2 linked regions of the Pelodiscus sinensis genome follow. The protein of the gene in region 1 purifies or fractionates together with the protein of each later gene. This does not show direct contact. Links are inferred from orthologs where the notes say so. Each region holds a gene or a part of one and is shown on either strand. Other genes may lie near its edges.

Region 1 (10,752 bases):
CTTTTCCTCTGTTATAAGAGGAAAAGAAAAAAATAGTTATTTCCACTCCATCCTATATGATGAAGTGGGTTTTAAATACAAAAGCTCATGACACTATATATATTTGTTAGTCTCTAAGGTGTCGCAGGGCTATTCGTTGCTTTTAGAGACATCTACGACAGTGACAGGTACATCTCCTCCTTAGGCCTAAGGGTACATCTAGACTACATGCCTCTGTAGCCAGAGGCATGTAGATTAGGCTACCAGACATAGTAAAATGAAGCGGCGATTTAAATAATCACCGCTTCATTTAAATTTACATGGCTGCCACGCTGAGCCGACAAACAGCTGATCAGCTATTTGTCGGCTCAGCGCGATAGTCTGGACGCGCGGGTGGCAACATCAAAGGTATTTGTTGACCACCCAGGTATACCTCATCCCAGGAGGCATACCTGGGTGGTCGACAAATACCTTTGATGTCGACACCTGCGTGTCCAGACTATCGCGCTGAGCCGACAAACTGATGATCAGCTGTTTGTCGGCTCAGCGCGGCAGCCATGTAAATTTAAATGAAGCGGCGATTATTTAAATCGCTGCTTCATTTTACTATGTCTGGTAGCCTAATCTACATGCCTCTGGCGACAGAGGCATGTAGTCTAGACGTACCCTAAGAGTTAGAAGCATGAGGGGTTTCAACTCATTTTTTTTTTAGCCTTAACTATTACATCTCTGGATATTCATATTCTTCTTAGACATGTCCAATCACTGTTTGAAGCTTGCTGTCTTGGCCTCTCTTTACTCTCCAGCAGTTCCTCTGAGCCCAGGAAGACGATCTGTGGCATTAGAAGGCATCTGACACAGGAGGTCTTGCAAAACAAAATATATAGTTGAGACACTATAGCTATGTCTACTCTCGCGGCTTCTTGCGTGAGTAATATGCAAATGAGGCTAAGCGTGGAATATTGCCGAGCCTCATTTGCATACTTAATGAGCCACCATTTTTTTCAGAAGAGGCTCTTGCGCAAGAAGGAGCGTCTACACTGCCCTATTACTTGACAGGAAGAACGGCATTGCGCAAGAGGGTTTTTCTTGTGCAAGAAGGGGCAGTGTAGACGCTCCTTCTTGTGCAAGAGGCCTCTTCTGAAAAAAATGGTGGCTCACTAGGTATGCAAATGAGGCTCGGCGATATTCCATGCTTAGCCTGATTTGCATACTACTCGTGCAAGAAGCCGCAAGTGTAGACATAGCCTATTTGTTTATGGGTTTTATTCACCACCAGGACGGGTCTAGGCTCTTGGGTCATATGGTAAGTTTCTTGAACTCACTCGCTAAAGTTGGACGAACTATTTCTGCAAAACACAATTGTTTTCTTCCTGACTACTAGAGCTTGTGGAACCTAGGGATGTAAAAGGTTAGCCAATTAACAAGCCCAAACACTTCCCAAATTCTCTTTCTATTCATACCTGTATTATATAACCACAGAAATACAGCCACCTCTGGGTAAAAGGGTGACAGCCAGGGCAAAAATTGCACAGCAATGTGGAGATGGGACTTCATGGCCATATACACTGTGACCAATCTCTATCAACTTTCTTAGCCAAAGTGTCCACAAAAAGCAGGATGGAGTTCAATATATCAAATATAAAGAGCTTTCACGGGGCATTTATGAACGAGTAGTCCTGTGGCATCTTAGGTTATGTCTACACTGCATTCCTCTTTCAAGAGAGGAATGCAAATGCAGCTGAGCGAACTTGCAAATGAAGCGCAGATTTGAATTTCCATCGCTTCATTTGCATAATTGCGTCCTGGCGCTATTTTGAAATACCCTGTTTTGAAAAAAGAAACACAGACTAGACGTGGTAATTTCAAAAGAAAACCCTTCTTTCGAAATTACGCTTACTCCTTATAAAATGAGGTTTAAGGGTAATTTCGAAAGAAGGGTTTTCTTTCGAAATAACCATGTCTAGACTGCATTTCTTTTTTCAAAATAGGGTATTTCGAAATAGCATCTGGACGCGATTATGCAAATGAAGCATGGAAAATTAAAATCCCTGTTTCATTTGCAATTTCATTCACCTGCATTTGCATTTCTCTCTCGAAAGAGGAATACAGTGTAGACATACCCTTAGAGACTAACAAAAAAATATATAGTATTATGAGCTTTCAAGAGCAAAACTCACTTCCTGAAGAAATGGGTTTTGCCCACAAAAGCTCATGATACTATATGTATTTTGTTAGTCTCTAAAGTGACACAGGACTACTCATTCTTTTTAAAGTTACAGATTAATATGGCTACCACTCTGAGACATAGAGCATTTATGGTTCACTTTCATCTGAATTCCATTGACATTTCAAACATCAAGATTTCCTGTGTTTGCTTCTTACTTTAGAAGCAACATGAGAAGGTTTAAGGGAATGCAAGATGTGCATTTTCTGTTGGATAACAGTGTTTCTTGGCCTATGACCAATCAGAATAGTTTTTTTAAAAGAGTTAGGAACTTAAAATTGTCAATTTTTTTCCAGATGATCCACTCCTGTTCTCCACTACTACTGCAGCTAAATGTGCACTCTTCACATTCTGCTTATTATTAAAGAATGTGAATTTCTCATATCACCTTTCATCCTCAGAAATCATTTCAGCCCAAAGCCCAAAGGCAGCACATTTATTATTTATTACACTTACCAACATGGCATCTAGGCACACAACATTGTGCATTGAACAAGTAATGTGTTTTAGTAGGAGCTGTTGAGTAGAAGCTGTTGAGTAGGATAGCCATGTCTCTAGGTGCATTTCTAATAACTTTTAGTACAAGGAATATTCTTTGCAACTTTCTAGTTCAGGGCTACTCAACACGCAGCCCATAGGCCGTATGTGGCCCGCCACCCGTTTGTTTGCATCCCACGGTGCAATTTGGGTTTACACTGGACTCAACACGTGGCCTAACAAAAAAGTAGTCAATATAATGGTCTTCTGTTATGTGTTTTAGTAGTTTAATTCCTGGACTGCCATTGCTCATTAGAAGTGCTGTCATATGGGTGGAAATCGGGTAAATATTGCATTTTATTAATATCAGCAGAACTGATTTAAATGAGGCCTGCGTGTTGTGTATTCTTGCCTTAATCTTTATATTCATGGCTGTCAGCGTGAAAGAAGCTATATCTATTTGCATGTCTATGCAACCACACTTACGTTGCGGCCCTCGGTATGTGCTGTGAGTATCATTGTAGCCCCCAGAGCTTCCAAAGTTGAGTAGCCCTGCTCTGGTTAAATGTCTGTGCATGAGCACTTTTTTCATGGACAGGATTTTGTTGCAGTTGTTCAATTTGTCTTAGCCATGACCAAAAGGTCATAATTCAGAATTAAAAAGGTACAAGAAAGCAGTTAAGTATCAGAAAAATAGGACACGAGTCAAGCTCTGTTCTGCCCGAGCCGCTAAACCATCTTTCTGCTGAAGTGCAAATGTGTATTTTTTCTGAACATAGTATTTTAATGCCAGAGAACAGATGTTGTAATATCAGGCATGCTAAAGATGGTATTTTCAGTGCCATGAGGGTACTTCAAGCAGTAAGAGTGTCTGAAGCTAGGGTTGATTTAGAGCAAGGGATAGGAATATAATCAGTAGAGATTATGATGATATTTACAGTGCAGATCAGTGTGTGGCTACAAACTGGAAATGAAAGAACCACACAAGCATAGGGTTCTCATGCATGATGGACTTGAAAGTAGGGAAGATAGAAATAGTGTAACTGAATAGTCGTGTAACCGCATTACATTTTAGTGGTTACACAACTATTCGATAGTCCCAGAGGTGGGGCCGGCTGCACTGTATTAGAGGCAGCCGTGCTGGATGGCAGGCAGGAGTTGGTCTGCAAAGGGAACCAGTTTAAAAACCAGCTCCCCGCGCAGACCAGCCCCCACCTGCAACCTCATGCTGCTGCCTCTGATACAGAAGCAACAGCATGAGGTGGCCCAGCCCGTCCATGGGGGGGCCTGAGCTCCCCGCAGACAGAGGCGCTGCTCCAGCATCCCCCAGAGCAGCCTCTGTAGACAGCAACCCTGGGCACATGGCGGACAGAGGCTCCTGTGAAGCAGCAGCGCCTGTCCACGGGGGGTCCAAACTCCCCTCAGACAGAGGCCTCTCCAGCACAGCCCCTAGTTCTGCCCCAACCCTGCTCCAACTCCATGCCTTCCACCAAAGCTCCAACCCCATCCTGCCTCTTCCCACCCCTGCTCCACCCCCACCCTGACTCTTCCTGCCCAGTTCTGTCCCTTTCCTCCAGCGCGCTGCTTCTTCGTTCCCTTCACCCAGCCTCCAAATGCTGCAAATAACTGATCACAGCAGGCGGGAGGTGTGGGGAGGGAGAGGGAAGCACTGATCCCCTCCCACTGTCAGGCAGGCTACGCTGGGGGATGGGGAGAGCTGATAGGTGGCTGTCAATAGGTGGTCAGCACCCACCAATGCTTCTTCATGGGTGCTCCAGCCCTGGAGCACATATGGCTCCTAGTCCCTTTAGTCCATATCAAAAACACAGTGTTTGAAATGCTCATAAGTTTATTACAAATCTCACAACATTTGATGATTTAAATTCCCAGCTCCTAGCGTTACATAATTATGGGAGAGCCTCCACTTTCATTGAAAAAATAGTATCCAGATCTTATGGTTGCAGAGAAAAGTGAAAAAATGTGACTCTACAGACTCAAAAAGGCCCCATTCCACCCCTTCCCCAATGCCCTGCCTCCAATCTGCTCCCTTTTCACCCCCATTGCACAAAGCTCTCTCCCCCAAGTAATGCAAGCATGTTCTCATACAATTTTAACCAATAACTAATCCATGACAGTACCTTCCCTCTTTTCCAATGATTACTTACTTTGCTTAAGAGCCTTTGGCAAGAGACCTCGTCAATGGTTCTCTGAAAATCCAAGTACAAACTATATCCACTGATTCTCACTTGTCCATGACTGCTAATCCCTCAAAGAATTTTAACCGATTGGTGAGACATGATTTCCCTTTACAAAAGCCATGTTGACTCTTCCGCAACAAATTGTATTAATCTACGTGTAGGATCATTCTCCTTATCACTTTTGATATCCTTCTCCGCACTTTTTCCAGTTCTAATATATATATATATTAGATGGGGCGACCGGCATGTTCTCACAGAATTAGGCAGTGTCATTATGATATTTACTATTGTTTCACTATAGTTTCAACCAATTTTCTCCAAGCTGAGGTTTAAGCTTACCAGCCTGTAATTGCCAGTATCACATCTAAAGCCTTTGTTAAAAATCAGTCACAATCAATGACAATAAAACAGTAAGAAATTAAATATTATGATCAAATATGATTCTTTCACACTGTTGTGAACTGCGGCCTCTGTTTCCACTGCACTTTGAAAAAAAAGAGTACTAAATTTCTGAATGCTTACTAAATTTCTTGCCAGAGCAAAAATAGAATTTGATCAAAATCAGAGGAGGGAATGGAGACATCCAGCTAAATACCACAATATCAGTCTGCATTCACCTTTCAAATGACTCTCAGGTAAGGTAGTGCTAGAGATGCAGCCAAGACAGGACCATGCAGCACTTTAACGACTAACAAGACGGTTATTAGGCGATGAGCTTTCGTGGGCTCTGAGGAAGTGGGTCTGGCCCACGAAAGCTCCTCACCTAATAACCATCTTGTTAGTCTTTAAAGTGCTGCATGGTCCTGCCTTTTGTCTGGGTAAGGGGCACTGCCACGGAACGAGCCATGGGAAGAGCGAGCCAGCAGAGACCGTGCCACTGGGCTGTGCACAGATGGGAAAGGCCATGCCACAGACTGTGCCATGGGGGGGGGGGCTGAACCACTGACCATGCAATGGGGGGGGCCACGCCACAGGACAGGGGGACTGTACCACTAACTTTGCTGTGGGAGGCCATGCCACAGAGATGGTACCATTGATCATGCCGCGGGGGGGGGAAGGGCTGTACCAGGAGGAGGGGCCGTAGCACAGAAAAGGGGGGGCACAGCACAGACCGGGGTGTGGCACAGGGAGGGAGACCACACCACAGACCGTGCCGTGGGGGGGCTCTGCCACGAGGCGGCAGTACCACAGACCGGGCCGTACCTCTGACCGTGCCATGACAAGGAGCTCTGCTGCCGCGTGAGCCCTGAGGCGCCAAACGGGCCCTGCGGGCCTCGTCAGCACGAAGACCCCCCGCCCCTGAGCAGAATAGCGCATGTGCAGAATCTTTTCCCGGCGCAGAAACTGACGCACGCGCACAATAGGCCAACGTACTCGCCTGTCGCGCGACCTGGCAGCAGCGCATGCGCATGACTCCTCTAAGTGGCTTCGCTGCTCACTTACGGCTTTCAGCGAAACTGGGGTGGTGCTTTTACGGCAGTCGTAAGGGAGGGAGCTCGACGGCCGCTGAAGCGGAGGGAGCAGGGGCCTGGCTTTGTCTGTAAGGGTGGGGGCCGGGAAGCGCCTCAGGAAGGGCGTTGAAGCCGGGGGCGGGAGTGCGTGGGCGGGGATGTCCGGCCCGGGGGGTTGGGGCGGGGTGGGCTGGATCCTGGCGGTGGGGCGGAGGCTGGGACGGGGGGGAGTGTGGGTGAAATGTGGGGGGGGGAGTTTGGGATGGGGTGGGTCCGTGGGCGTGGGGAGTTCTGGGGGTGGGGGGAGTTGGTGTCTCGGGCGGGCTGTGGGGATGGGACCCCAGAGTGAGCCCTGGGCCAGGGCCAAGCTGTGACAGTCTAACAGCTGCCTTGAAGCTATGGAGGGGCTTCAGGTGTGGGGGCAGTTTGGTGTATTTCTGAGCTGTAGGGTGCTTCTGGTGACCATGTAATGCATTCGACTCTGTTTCTTCTCCTAGAACAGCCAGTTCTACCTGTGCGATGCGGCCGCAGCAGGCACCTGTTTCTGGTAAAGTGTTTGTCCAGAGAGACTACAGTAGCGGCACCAGGTGCCAGTTCCAGACCAAGTTTCCCCCAGAGTTAGAAAACAGGGTAAAAGCTTTGTTTTAATTTATCTGGGATTGTATGAATGATTGAATTAGGAATGATTGAAGTCCTGAGCTAGCTGCACATGGCTGACCTGAGAGCTTACCTGCTGTGTACCTGAGATTTGTGGTCTTTAGCACGCAAAGGAACATAACTTTTTTTTTAAAGCACATCAAAGGCATGTTTATTTTTTATAAAGAAGTGAAAATGTGGTTCATTTGTATAAATTCTGACTTATCTGCTCCTCTCTTTTGTTATTGACCATGTTTAGAAGTCATTTGTTTTTTATGCTCTCTGTAATCCTGAGGAAAGGTGTCCCTTTTAACTGTATCATCAATTACATCTCTTATGTCAGTGAAAAAGTATGTATTCTCTACCACAGTCCTGTCTGATGGTGAGAGGACTCTTTTGTTGAACTTGCATTTACATGGCTTTACAAGTGCTTCCTTTCATTGTGTTGCTGGCAATTGTGATATTTTATTAAGCTAGAAAGAAAATGCTTCTTGCCAGTTGTGCTTGTCTTCTATGGCTAGTAAATGTCACTTCTGGGGCTTTTTGCTTCTTGCCTGTCCTGTATGGAACACTAATCACCTTAGCTTTCCTTGTTAATGTTATTAGTGATCAACTCTGTCATAATAATGCAAAATAGTCAAGGCCTTAGTCAGAGCATATGAGGTTTAGTTTAACCCATGTCCCCTGCGAATAATTTATTTTTGAAATCTAGAGGACCTCACCCTCCAGATTAGGAATGTAAAAACTCGTTTAAAAACATAACCATGTAACAGCTAAAAATCCTAGTGGTTACACCAGTGGCATGCATTGCAGAATCTCCCAAGAAGCCTGTGTGTAACTCTAACCAAAACCAATAAGATGAAGTTTGTAGGCTAATCATTTAAATGGTTACACTTTTGTATCCCTACTCCAGGTCAACAGTTTCCAAGTAGGTTGTACTTTGAATCTAATACTGTACACACAACACAGCTTAAATAAGGGCTGTAAATGTGTAATATGGGAATACACATTTGATCTAGTAACTTTAAATCACTTAGCATTGGGTTAAATAGCAGCTATGATACACAGAGGTCCTTCTGTACCAGAACACAACCTTGGTTCTCCATGTTGTGCTTGAAGCTAATTGGATGTAGGTGATACACTGGTGATTAAGAATGTTCTACACAGAAGGTACATCTTTGCTTTAGGGATTGAGTTCTGACTAAGCAATTTACTGTCAATCTTTTGCAGATCGATAGGCAGCAGTTTGAAGAGACAGTTCAAACTCTAAATAACCTTTATGCAGAAGCTGAGAAGCTTGGGGGTCAATCTTATCTTGAAGGATGTTTGGCCTGTCTGACTGCTTACACTATCTTTTTGTGCATGGAGACACATTATGAAAAGGTGAGCCTGTTACCTTTCATGCAATTAACTTAAAGCAAATGAAAATCACAATGTTGGATCATAACTTTTTATGTACATCAGCAGAGGTGCTTTAGCTTCTAACTTTATTTCTAAGGTTTTCTCTTATGACAGCCTCGTTCATTACTATAGTACAAATACAGAATAAGCTTTCACCTGCTAGCCTAGCTTCCTGAAAATACTGGGACATATCAGTGAGAGCACAGACTCAGCTACCTGAGAATTATAAGCATATATTTGAAATAAATGCCAGCTTCAGTCACTGGTTGGAGAGTAACAAAGAAATATGTCATTTTCCAGATGCGGGAAGTGATCACCTGCTGCTAGGGTAAACTATACATAACCATAGAAAAATAGTGTGCCGTTTTAGTCAAAGAATTAATTAGTTGAAAAATATATCTTTGACTAATCAGTCATATAGTGTCAAGTTGGTAGGACTGTTTCTAAATCCAATTATGTTTCATTTTTAAAATCCATTAGGCAATCACTAAACTGGCGAGTTTTACACCAAATTTTCAGCAATTTAATCCCATAGAGATTAATAATCAAGAGAGTTGCTTCACAGCTCTGTAGCTCAAGAAAGATTCCTGATTCCCTACTAAATACTAGTCCCTGTGTTCCATTTGCTTCCACAAATCCTCAGGAGTTCAGGCTGCTCTTAGCCTACCTTTCAGCATCTTCTGCTGCATCTTACCCTACCTTTCAGCATCTTCTGCTGCATCTTACCATTTTACTGCTTGTCTTCTTTATGTTTGGGTTTAGGTGAGATGTTAAGCTAGAGAATGGTGGGCTATAACTACTCCAAATCTACCTCTCGCACATATCTATACAGTACCCTCTATTTGAGACTTTTCCAAGCTCCAGGTAAGCATTCACTAAGGGAACAATCTAACACCCATGCAAATATTTCCAAATAAAACCCAGTTTCTTCATGAGCATCAGATTAGTCCATTTGCCCTTCTTGTGAAATCAATATTATGCCCATTATTTAGGTCAAATCAAGTATAGGTTTGTCTCATGCAGAACTGCTGATTTCCAGTCTTTTGGTGAACCACGAGATCATTCTAAAATTATAAAAATGTTGTTCTGATAGTTTCTCTTTAAAAATGAAGAGCTTCATTTTTAAACACCATGACATACTAGCTTGAAGAGCTAGAAGTCATACATACTTGTCACACCTCCATGTGTACACACTTACATATGTAGTCTGTATTTAATACTGTCAGTTCTTCTTTATTTTGTGCTCTTTGGCTACGTCTACACTGGCATGATTTTCCGAAAACACTTTTAACGGAAAACTTTTCCGTTAAAAGCATTTTCGGAAAAGCACATCTAGATTGGCAGGATGCTTTTCCGCAAAAGCACTTTTTGCGGAAAAGCGTCCGTGGCCAATCTAGACGCGGTTTTCCGCAAAAAAGCCCCAATTGCCATTTTCGCGATCGGGGCTTTTTTGCAGAAAACTACTGTACTGTCTACACTGGCCCTTTTGCGCAAAAGTCTTTCGGAAAAAGACTTTTGCCCGAACGGGAGCAGCATAGTATTTCCGGAAAAGCACTGACGATCTTACATGAGATCGTCAGTGCTTTTCCGGAAATTCAAGCGGCCAGTGTAGACAGCTGGCAAGTTTTTCCACAAAAGCAGATGATTTTGCAGAAAAACTTGCCAGTCTAGACACAGCCTTTGTGTTTACAAAGCCAATGAGTAGATAGCCAAGTCAATATGTGAATACATTCATCATTCCTTTGGATTAAATGAGTGTAAAGAAGTCTGATTTAATATTACTGACTTGAAATAAAAACATGTTTCAAACAATTCTGCTCAAGATTACTGCTGTAATTATATATTAACAGAACCCTTTATCATCCCTTCTGAGCAGGGTGATAAATAGTGCTGGTTTGCAGTATTTTATTTAGCTAGATATCTTTGGCTCACCTTATGTAAGAAGAGTGATTTTTTTTTCTTTTTTTTTTTTTTTTGAAGATTGGGCTGACACCAGCTGAAATGTCTTTTTATAACTGAACTAGATAGAGTAGGGATGGCAAGGCAGATAACTTCAAATCTCCTTGGAAAATGCAGCATTTATGGTCATGCTAATGAGAACAGTTCAAAGAGATGATTAATTCTTATGACTCACTCTTTCTTGACTTGTGACTTATTGCACTATACTCTGTAACTTGTTTGAATATCTAGTTATTTTTATAAATAATTTGACACTCTCAAGATAAGGTAGATTTCCATAATGTAATCATCTTGTCATTTTCTTTAATCAGAATAGCATTCTAAATACATAATATTGCAGCTAAAACCTCGCCAGAAAGCTCATCCATCAAAACTTAAATTTGATTAAACTGAACTGGTGTGTCTCTTGTAGTAACCCTTTAGT
Region 2 (11,246 bases), on another chromosome or scaffold:
CTGGGGCAGAGCAGCTGGGGTGCTGCTGGGTTGGTCCAGTAGCGCCGCACCTCGGTGCTGTAGGACCAACCCGGCAGCCCCCCAGCTGCTCTACCCCAGGCGTCCCCAAGTCAGCCGCTGCTGAAACTCACCAGCAGCGAGAAAAGCCTGGTCTGCTTGGGGGGGGCGGCGCACTAGCTGCGCCCCCCCCCAGCAGACCAGGCTTTTCTCGCCGCGGAGGACGGGGGCGGTGGGACCGCCAAGATGCGCCGCGGTCCCGCCTCCTGCGTCCTCTGCGGCGAGAAAAGTCTGGTCTGTTGGGGAGGGGTGGGGCGCAGCTAGTGCGCCCCCCCTCCCCCCCCAGCAGACCAGGGAGACGCGGGCGGCGGGACCGCTGAGACGCGCCGCAGTCCCGCCGCCCGCGTCCTCCACGGCTTTGCTCTGCGTCTCCCTGGTCTGCTGGGGGGGACCCCCCAGCAGACCAGGGAGACGCGGAGCGGCTTTTCTCACCACGGAGGATGCGGGCGGCGGGACCGCCCAGATGCGCCACGGTCCCGCCACCCGTGTCTTCCGCGGCTTTGCCCTGCGTCTCCCTGGTCTGCTGGGGGATGCCCCCCAGCAGGCCAGGGAGACGCGGAGCAGCTTTTCTCGCCGCGGAGGACGCGGGCGGTGGGACCATGGTACGTCTGGGCGGTCCCGCCGCCCACGTCCTCCGCGGCGAGAAAAGCCCCGTTCGTAAGTAGGGATCCGACGTAAATCGGATCCACGTAACCCGGGGACTGCCTGTATCATTTATCTTCAATTTTAGTCGGCAGGGTGTTAGATCTCCAATCTGATTAGTTTTCTACAAAACAAATAAATGCCCTGGTGCTTAGTAGTTGGTCCTGAATAGGGATGTATTTAACGTTTAACATATTAACTGGTTAAACACTAAGTCTAATTGGTCAAACCTGGAGCAGCCCCCTGTCCATGATGGGTTGCGGCTGAGACGGAGCCAGAAAATGGAGGCAGCTCTGGCTCCACTGCATGCTCCAGTCCTGGCTGCAGGTTGGGAGAGAGAGGTGACCTCTGGCCGAGTCTACTGTGGCCACAAGCAGGATCCAGCTGGCCAGGCCAGTTAACCAGTTACCTTGAAAGCACGCTGTCTTACTTCAGAGACTGGGCCAGCCAAACTCTGCTCTCAGGTTCGGAGGGTAACCAAGAAGACACAAATAGCTTAATGCATATAAATGCAAGATTTATTAGATATTGCAGGTGATATAAAAAGAAAAGGCAAGAGAAGGCTGACAACATCCCTTTGGCTTGCTGGGGACTCTGACTCAGCAAAGGATGGACTCCTGGGCCAGGTCAGAAGACACCTGTACAGTTCCAGGTCCTTCGGGAAGTCCAAAGGGCGTTGGCAACATTAAACAATATATAGCCTGTACACAAAATTCTAGAATCAGCCACTAACTACATACAGAGGAAAAAAAACCCCAAAACAAACACCTGCCTGCTTGAGAAGATTCCCGAAGGCAGGCTTGTTTACCTGGAAGCTTATCTCAACTATGCAATGAGCTCAGCCATGCCAGACAGGGCCTATCTCTAACGAGCTAGCTAGCTGGGAATTTCCCTTGCTAACAGCAGTCCAAAGCCTGTTTTCTAGTTTGCAGACATGAGAACTGGAAAGATACACTAACTCCTCGAAATACAATGATCTTCCGGTTTTCCAACCACAACACACACTGACAAGCCACCTGCTTACTGGGTAACTAGTTAACCTCTTATATCCCTAGTCCTGAGTAACTAAACATCATATAGTTATTTATAGAGTGTATCTCGTATTAAGCTATGCTCTGCCGTGTTGAACTTGCTATGTCTAGGTATCTAAAATGAGGTGCTTGAATGGAAAGACGTTTGTGTGGGTATCTCCTCTACTGAGTTGAATAGCTACTCCAGGGCAATTTATATGTGATAAGTCCACCATCTAGTGGTAGCAGGCTGTGAAAAATACAGGCCACACCTTGAGAAAGGAAAAGACTGCGGGTGGAGCCCTTCCTGCACATCTTTCTTGGGTTCTAATTAGCTATGCTGCTTCCTCTCTGCAGATCACATCTCGCTTGGCTGACGTTTTTAACCAGCGCTGCGAAGTGAACCGTCGGGCTTCAGTCAGTGGCTGTGTCATCAACACGTGCGGCTGGGTGAAGGGCTCTGGGTATCAGGCCCTGGTGCATGCAGCCTCAGCCTTTGAGGTGGATGTGGTGGTAGTGCTGGACCAGGAACGCCTGTACAATGAGCTGAAGCGGGACCTGCCCCATTTTGTGCGCACGGTGTTGCTCCCCAAGTCAGGTGGGGTGGTGGAGCGTTCAAAGGACTTCCGGCGGGAATGCCGGGATGATCGCATCCGTGAGTACTTCTATGGCTTCCGTGGCTGCTTCTACCCCCACGCCTTCGATGTCAAATTCTCTGATGTCAAGATCTACAAGGTGGGGGCGCCCACCATCCCTGACTCATGCCTGCCTCTGGGCATGTCACAGGAGGACAATCAACTCAAGCTTGTGCCAGTGACACCAGGCCGTGACATGGTGCACCACTTGTTGAGTGTCAGCACTGCTGATGGCAGTGAGGAGAACATCTCTGAGACCAGTGTGGCTGGGTTCATTGTTGTCACTGGGGTGGACGTAGATCGCCAGGTCTTCACGGTGCTGGCACCGGCACCTCGTCCACTGCCCAAGAACTTCCTGCTGATCATGGACATCCGCTTCATGGACCTTAAGTAGGGGCTGCACTGGAGCAGAAGAGGTGTACTCCAGCATCTTAGAGCATCTTCATTGTGGACAGTATTTTTACCAAATGAAGGGGGTGGTGACTGCCACATAGACTAAACCATTTGAAACCAGCGTGAGAAGGGATAGAGGCTGCTGTGCAGAACAAACCATTGGGACAAACCAGAGTCGGTCAGATGAGGAAGTTTGTGGATTAACTTGTAGATGGAAGCAGGGAGGAAATAGGAGATTAAATGTAGCTGTACGTGATTCACTGCCTACCTCCCTTCTCTAGGTTCCCTTCCCTGCCTTAGATTTCAGCCCCTGAAATCTGGACCTGTTGTCGCTTTTGCACAGCCCACGCTTCATGGGGCTTCTCTTTATAGGAGATGATCAATATTCTTTTATATTTTTCTAATGTTAATAAATTTCCTGGCCTTTTGTTGTTTTTTGGTGACTGGATTAATTTTGTGTAACCTCTTGCAGTGTGAGAGAGCTCTGTAGTGCATGCACACAAGATGCACTGCTTGGGGCTTGGAGAGGGGAATTTTGATGTAAGGAATGAAATAGGGCCACACAAAGTAGGCTGGAGCATTTGAGCAAAATGTGGATCATCCCAGGAGCTAGGTTACGAGGAACTAACAATTTCATTTTCTAGGCCCTTCACCTCACCTCCACTATGGAGATGTCTGTCCTGACTTACTGCCAGCTTGGATCACCCATTTCCAACATTCCAACAAAGAGCTCCCCATTACCCTTATCTATCAAATGAATTCCCCATTAACATCCACAGTTCCTTCAACTCCCCCCTGAAAGCCTACTTGTGCTATAATGTGGACAGCACCCATAGCTGGGCAGTTGGTGTTCAGTGACTGCTCTTTGTGTTCGTTGCCTTCTCTCCCCACCCTTTTTATCAATTGTGCTCATCTGTTGTCTCATCTTATATTTGGAATAGTAGGTTCGTTCTGTGTTTCTACAACACCTAGCACCTTGGGCCCTCATCCTTGACTGGCTGCCATTGCAATAAAGTTGTACAGTGGTTTTAAATGGGTTTGGAGCCAGGAATTTGCCATTAGAATGGGAAATCATCACAAGGAACTACTGCAAGTTGGTGGAGCTTCAGGGTAAGAGGGGACAAAAGGTTTACAAATGGAAAAGGTAGGAAGAATGCTGCAGGTTCTACAGCAGGAGAGAAGACGGGACATGCTGGGAAAGACTATAGAATAGAAGAAAAAGAGTGGATTTTGGGTTGAGGAATATGAGTTGTCCTAACCCCTCTAGCCAGGAGAGGGCACTGTTGATTAACCCCTTCTAGTGACTTCTTGGATCACAAGGCAATAGTGCTGGCTATATGATTCGATTATAAAAGATGGTGAATTGGGCAGAAGGGCCATATCCAAATTCCCCAGTGTAATTAGTGCACTGTAATCTGAGGTAATTCACGTTTTCACCTGTTCTAAGGATCAAAAACTTCATAAGTCGCACGTCAGGACCTGTTGCTTAGGCAGAAGCACTTCCCACTTACCAGAGATGTGCAGACCTTGTGTAACTTCCTGGCTGTGCTTTGGGCTTTGAGAGTGTGGGGGAGGGGAGAAATAAAGCCAGTCATGCCATGCAGCTGTTGCAAGAAGGATTCATGGTTGAGGTATGTATGCTGCTGCAAAGAGAAACCAGTGCTATACCTCTGCATGATGAAATGTCAATCAGCTGTTTTCCTTGTTCTTTCCCCTTTTATGACTGAGTTTTTCCAGCTTAGGTGGTAGAACTGCAGTTTTTGAGCAGGAGCTGGCCTTATCTGTGCGGAGCCTCATATCAGGTTCAATTCCTGGCTTTGCTGCAGATTACCTGTGTGACCTGAGGCAAGTAATGTCACATCTCTAGGCCACATTAACGCTCTGTAAAAAGAGGATAATAATCCTCCCTTTGTCTTTTATCCATTTAAAGGTGGCTATTTTGGAGCAAAGACTATCTCTTACTTCGTGTTTGTGTAGTACCCAGCATTGGGAGGCCCTGGTCTTACTTGGGTTTTCTAGGTGCTATTATGATATAATTTAAAATTGAAGCCCTCGTGATTACTTATTCAGGCTGTTGTAAGTGGAACCATTGCTATCCTCCTCTGTCATGATATAGATCTAGGTGTTTGAGTTCTCATAACTCCGGTCATCTGAAGAAGTGGACTGTGCGCACAAAAGCTCATGATACCATCTACATGTTTTGTTAGTCTATAAAGTGCTACCAGACCATTTGTTGTTTTTTCTATAACAGACTAACTCGGCTACCTCCTGAAGCTCCTTTAACTTTCTCGTCAGGGATGTACATTTAGGGTTGCCAGATGGTTTCAACAAAAATACTGGAAACACTTAACATTACATCACAATCAATATTATATCTTATTTAGAAAATACCGGACATTTATATTTTCTCAATTTGTTTCCTGAACAGAAAGCTCAAATACTTGACTGTCCAGTTCAAAACCGGACACCTGGCAACCCTAGATGTAATTTCCTCCCTTTCCCACCCCCAGCACAGCAAGTTACAGTGCTGAGAAGCAACTGTGTGCACAGGCTTCCAGGGCTGTAAGGTAATCTCTTCATGGAGGGAATTTACTTAGAACTCTCTCAGTGCTGCTGTTGTGACCACACTCATTAAAGTGCTCATCCAATGGGGCCCTGCATCTTAGTCTGCTTTTCCTCCCTTTGGAGGGAGAAATTCCTTTTTAAACCACGGTAGTCTTTTGATCTCTGCTGTGTGCTGGCGTTGTCTTGCCATGCCATTGTCTCTTAACAAACATCAGCTGCTTATAGCTTAAGCTTTTCCTTCCTCATTTTTGCTTACAGGACACCTGAGTGGCTTGGCATCCTGCTTGCAATATAACCCTGGTGCCAGGATGTAATGGAGTGGGGATTGTGTTCACTCTGTTTACTTTGTTGTGCTGAAAGTGATTCCTATTGTACTGTTCTGTTGTAACCCTGTGTGTGCCTCAGTTTCCCTGGGTACTGCATTGGTGTCTGGCTGGGGATAGGAATGTTGGATTGGCTGTCACTGAAGGGAGGCTACCCCAGGCGGTCCCATCTTAGCAGTACACAACAATAGCTCAGGCTGTCCTATAACCTGAGCCTGGGTGGGTAGAGCAACCAGCTGACACCTTGCTCAGGAACCTGAACAAAGGAGGGGGCAGAGCCGCCTCCAGGCTGGGGGATGAGGTGGGGCGTATATGAGTTCTCTGCTGGTGGAGGATGCAGGGAGGGGGCCCAGGGTGCTGGCCCTGGGTCTCCCTCTGCCTAAGCTGGATTGGACTATCTGCTTCTGGTTCCTGTGTTAACAAGTTTGTGCTATGCTGTGTCCCTATCAAGGAATGAAACTTTTGTTCTACTTGCTAGCTGAGAGTCAGAGCTGGCTGTGGATGGGGGTGCAAGGCCTGGAGAAACTGAGGCGCAAACACGGGGTTACAACAGAGCAGTACAGGACAGCAGGAATCACATACAGCATACCAGAGCAAACCCAATCCCCACTCGGTCACACGGGGCAGGGCGATAACCCACGCTGTGTACACGGGGCAAGGGTCACTCTCCCCAGATGCTGCGCTGGGTGGCTGTGGAGGCGGGGGGGAGGGGCTGTGCCATGAGTCACTGGCCCATGGGGGTTCACACCCACTGAAGGCTGGGTCAGGTGGTGGGCTCGTCGTGACAATGGAATGGGGGGGTGGAGTCACGCGAAGTGGGGGGTTCTGCAGTTTGTGGAGTATACTATGACGTCACAGAGAACGGTACCATGAAGTCATGGGGGGGGTGGTTATTCCCTCTCCGCTGCTTATTTAAATTGTTTTCAATAAGGCACCTCCCCCAAATATCAACAGAACGAGACGGGGGGGGGGGGTCCATTGACGCGATCACCCGAATCCGCCACGAGCCGTGCGTAGATTCCCACGCTAGGCGGGGTTGAGCTCTGATTGGGCGGCGGGGTCATCAATCTGCTGGGCCGAGCTCGAATGTGGCGTCTGGAGCCGAGTGGGTTCTGGGAGCGGGGCTGTTCGGCGCGTGCTCAGTGAGCCGCTCCCCTGCGCCTATCCCGCCTCGATTGCGGCGCTCTGCGGCGCACGCGCGGACGGGGGTGTCCGTCTCTCTGGGCATGGGCAACGGCTCGTCTCTCTCTCGCTCCCGCCCTCCCTCACGCCGCAGCCAATCAGCGGCGGGCAGTGTTCGCACGGGCGCGCGACGCGGCGCCGGCCGAGGGGGCAGAAGGCGGAGCGCGCGGCCTGGGACTAACCGGCGAGCGCAGCGCGAGCCCGCAGGGCCTCGGGAGCGCGCTTCCTCCCTGCTGCCTGGACGCGCCTCTCACACGGGGAGCCGGGCCGGGCGGAGGGAGCCGCGGCGCCGAGCGGTGAGTGCGGGCGGGCCGGGCCCAGCTGCACGGGGCGGGGGATCGGGGCCTCGCCTGCCGCGGGGAGCCGGGGAAATAAATCGGGGGGAGGCCGGGCCCCGCCTGCGGGCCTAGCCCGCCTCGGACCCGGCCCCCACAGATCGGCCCGCGGGCCCCATCCTCCCGCGCCCCTCCCCCCCGCCCCCACACTGCCCCTGCCCTCGGGCCCCCCGCCCCCACACCGCCTCTGCTCCTCGGGGCCTCCCCGCCCCCACACTGCCCCTCCCCTCCCCACGGGCCTCTGCCCCTCGGGGCCCCCCCGCCCCCACACTGTCCCTCCCCCACGGGTCTCGTTAGTGCCCCCACACTGTCCCTCCCCTCACATCTCTCCTCCTCAGTGCACCCCCTCCCACAGGTCACTCTTCTACTGTGCACCCTGTCCCCACACAGGTCTCATCAACATCCTCCCCTTGCTCCCCCTACAGGTCTTATTAATCTCCCCTCCCCTCCCCTCCCCACATTGTCCCACCCCCCCCATGGGTTTCATCAGCAACCCCCCTACTTCTCACTGCCTCCCCTCCCCCCCCCCCAGTCTCCTTGTTAGCACCCATAGTATCCTTCCCCCACAGGTCTCTGTTTGTCATTGCCCCAGAGATCCTTTCCTCCAGCACACCCACACTGCCTCTCCCCCTACAGGTTTCTTCTATTTAGCCCCCCCCCACTGTCCCCACAGACCCATTATGCCTTCAGCATCCTTGTCCCTGTGCAGCTCCTCCTCCACAGTATTCAGAGTCCCTGACCCTTTCCTCCTTCAGTGCCCCTGCTGCCACCCATAATATGTAGAGTATCCACAGTCCCCCCACTCCTTTTTTCAGTACCCCTGCACTGCTCCTCCCCCACAGACCCCTACTTCCTTCAGTGTCTGTGTCCCTACATTACTTCCTCCCCCACATGGCCTCACTTCTAAATTTCCCTGCCCATACAGACATCTCTTTAGCATCATCTTATTTCTTCCTGTTCCTCTCCCTGCAAAGTTACCTCATACTTCCAGACACCCCTGCCTCCACACTTCTACTCCCCCATAAACACCTCCAGCATCCTTGCTCCTCATTGCTCCTCTGTTTCCAGAGAGACACCTCTCAGCAACCCAGACTTTTTTCCTGAATACTGATCCTCCCCATACTGAAGGGGTTCTCAAACTGGGGGGGTCTAACTTTGTGACATTAGGTGGGGTGCTGTGAGTAGTCAGACCCCCTATCCTAACCCTACTTTACTTCTAGCATTTAAAATGGAGTTAATGTTCTTAATTCACAAGGGGAGTGTCACACTTGGAGGCTTGCTGTGTGAAAGGAGTCACCAACACACAAGTGTGAGAACCACTGCTCTATATCAGCCTCCTCTCACCCCTAGCATCCACAGATACCTCTTTGCTCAGCACCCCCTTGCCGCCCCAAGAGAGATCCCTTCAACACCCACAGACCCCTGCCCACATAACTCCTCCCTCTTCAGCATCACCATTTCCCCAGGTCTCTCCACCAAATGATTCCTCTCAGCTCACCTGCCTCCCAGACATCTGGTCTCATATCAAACCTCTTCATTTCTGTGTGATCTGGAAATCCCCATATCCTTTCCCATCCCCTCTTATGTGACCCTTGTCCCACAAAGATTCTTTCCCCACTCAGAACATCCTGTTTCTGACTGTCCCCTAATGTGATCACCCCACTCACTATGACTCTTGCTGATCCCCTGTTTGATTTTTCCCTTCTGCTGTGGCACTCTGACACTTCCATAGACTCATTTATGTTAAGGGACCACCTTTCTCTCCACCCTGTAGCCCTCTCTTGTGTTTAATTCCCTGTTGCTCATGTGCAACCCTCCCTTCCCCAGTCTACCTTTAGTGTGGACTCTTGCCTGTTGAGTCTGATCCCTTATTTATTAATTTCCCTGGTTTTACATCTTTATTCTCTAGCCAGCACAACCTGTTAAATTCCCAGCTTGTCTCCTGTTGCCTCCATCCCTGGTTATATGCAGTGTTCCCTTGATGTACAAGCCCTCTTCATCTCTTCTCTCTCCTGGATTACATCTTCTCTCATGCGAGTCCTGTTTTCTGCTCTTAGAATCTCCTTTTCCCTGCTCTTAGAATCTCCTTTTCCCTGAATTAAGCTTTTCCCTGCACTAGATTACAGTATCACAGCTGCATGAAACCTGTTTTCCCTTTCTTGGTGCCCCCTGCCTTTTGCATGAAAAGAAAGGTGCTAGCCTAGGATTTGGAGACTAAGGTTTCAGTTCCCAGCTCCATCACAGATACTCTGTGCGACCTGGGCAAGTCATTGAGCCTCTCTTTGCTTCAATTTTCATAAGTAAAATGGGGATAATAGCACTTCCCTACCTCACAGATTTTATGAGCCACTCAGCTATTATGGTGATGGAGACCAGATAAGTGTCTAAAATAGACTTCTCAGATACAGCTGCCCTGTATTATATGCTCATAGACAAAGGAAAATTATCACTCATCTGCCAGAGTAACTGTCAGCTGTATCCACTTTCAGATTTCTTTACCCCACTATAGCTTCCAGTTATAGCCCTCAAAGGACCCTACAATTCACTTCATTCTAATACATTCAGGCTAATGACCCCTTTTTGTGTAAAGCTAGGATAGCAGGAGAGGGGATTCTTTTTTAAAGTTACTTATCCAGTATAGCTTGAATCTCAGATGGCTCAGGCAGGTTTTGCAAGAGCCTGTGGGGTATTGCTATACAGTAAAGTGTTTATTTTGTCAAAGATAATAATCAGTGCACCTCAGTTGTTAATATCCCATTGTGATTGAACATAGCATTCCCACATTGTGTTCAGGATGTCTCTATCTTATGCCGCACTTTGATCCATTCTGCACAATCCCCCAATCGCGCACATTTTCCAGCATGCACTATGGATATCATTAAATGGGGCTGTGAACTAACTGGCAGGCAGATTGGTTTCATGCTGCTGTTTGGTGGCATTTACAAAAAACTGAGAAGTTACTCCTCAAGGATACAATTTAGATTTTACACATAATGCCTCACTTTGAATATTGCTCCCTGTGCTTCTAATTCTAAATTATGCCCTGTTCTCAATGTCACCCCTTCCCTGCATAAATCCAAATTACACCCATGCGTTGAATATTACTGCCCTGTCTAAATCCAGATTGCCTCTCTATATATGTCTAAATTTATAGTCTCAGTGTTTATGGTTGTGACAGCGCGACAGAATGGCAGGTGAAATTCAGTGTTGATAAATGCAAAGTAATGCATTTTGGGAAACATTCCAATCATACATATGAAATGATGGAGTTTAAATTAGCTGTTAAGACACAAGAAAGAGATCTTGGAGTTATGGATAATTCTCTGAAAACATCCACTTAGCCTTTTTGACTGCTGCTGCATGTTAACAAAGTTAGGAACCAATAGGAAAGGAATAGATAATAAGACAAATATAATGCCCACTGTATAAATTAATAGTACACCCATGCTGCAGACCTAGATAGACTGGGACCAGTCAATTGAAAAGCAGATGACTGGCAGGGCAGGAAGGGGGCATGAAAGAGATCTATAAAATCATGAATGGTGTGGAGGAAGCAAGTAGGGAAATGTTTATCCCTTCACATAACACAAGAATGTTATGGGTCACCCAATGAATTAATGAGTAGCGTATTAAAAACAAACAAAAGGAAGAACGTCACACAACGCACTGTCAACTTGTGGAACTCATTGATGGGGGATACCATGAAGACCAAAACTATAACAAGGTTTAAAAAATTACATAAGATCATAGAAGAGAGGTCAGTCAATGGTTAACAACCAGGGTGGTTAAGCCTCTGACTGCCAGGTTCTTAGGTCCCTGTAAACATGTAGGACAATGTAGCACTTTAAAGACTAACAAGATGGTTTATTAGATGATGAGCTTTCGTGGGCCAGACCCACTTCCTCAGATCAAAATGAGTGCTACATTGTCCTGCATTTTGCTTCAGCTACCCCAGACTAACAGGGCTACATTTCTATCACTATGTAAACATGTAGATATTCACGGGTGTCAGCATCCTCAGCACAGATATCAGTGGCTCATTTTGCCAGATACAAATACAAACTTTGTATCCTCACAGGACTGTAGTTATTTGGTCTACATGCC

Evidence for each region. The genes of interacting proteins can lie anywhere in the genome.
Region 2: the proteins of GOLGA7 (region 1) and ZDHHC5 purify together in Homo sapiens (co-immunoprecipitation; 3 studies listed by BioGRID and IntAct, with this or other methods). This does not show direct contact. The link is inferred for Pelodiscus sinensis from reciprocal best matches to the Homo sapiens genes GOLGA7 and ZDHHC5.

What each region holds. Positions count from the first base shown.
Region 1 is NC_134738.1:16,480,520-16,491,271, forward strand, and holds the start of GOLGA7 (golgin subfamily A member 7), read left to right. Parts: upstream 1-6,268; 5' UTR 6,269-6,284; coding exon 6,285-6,421; intron 6,422-6,829; coding exon 6,830-6,962; intron 6,963-8,198; coding exon 8,199-8,351; intron 8,352-10,752. UniProt on the Homo sapiens protein: May be involved in protein transport from Golgi to cell surface. The ZDHHC9-GOLGA7 complex is a palmitoyltransferase specific for HRAS and NRAS.
Region 2 is NC_134714.1:128,556,498-128,567,743, forward strand, and holds the start of ZDHHC5 (palmitoyltransferase ZDHHC5), read left to right. Parts: upstream 1-6,790; 5' UTR 6,791-7,103; intron 7,104-11,246. Other genes in the region: polyribonucleotide 5'-hydroxyl-kinase Clp1, read left to right, coding at 2,067-2,738. UniProt on the Homo sapiens protein: Palmitoyltransferase that catalyzes the addition of palmitate onto various protein substrates such as CTNND2, CD36, GSDMD, NLRP3, NOD1, NOD2, STAT3 and S1PR1 thus plays a role in various biological processes including cell adhesion, inflammation, fatty acid uptake, bacterial sensing or cardiac functions.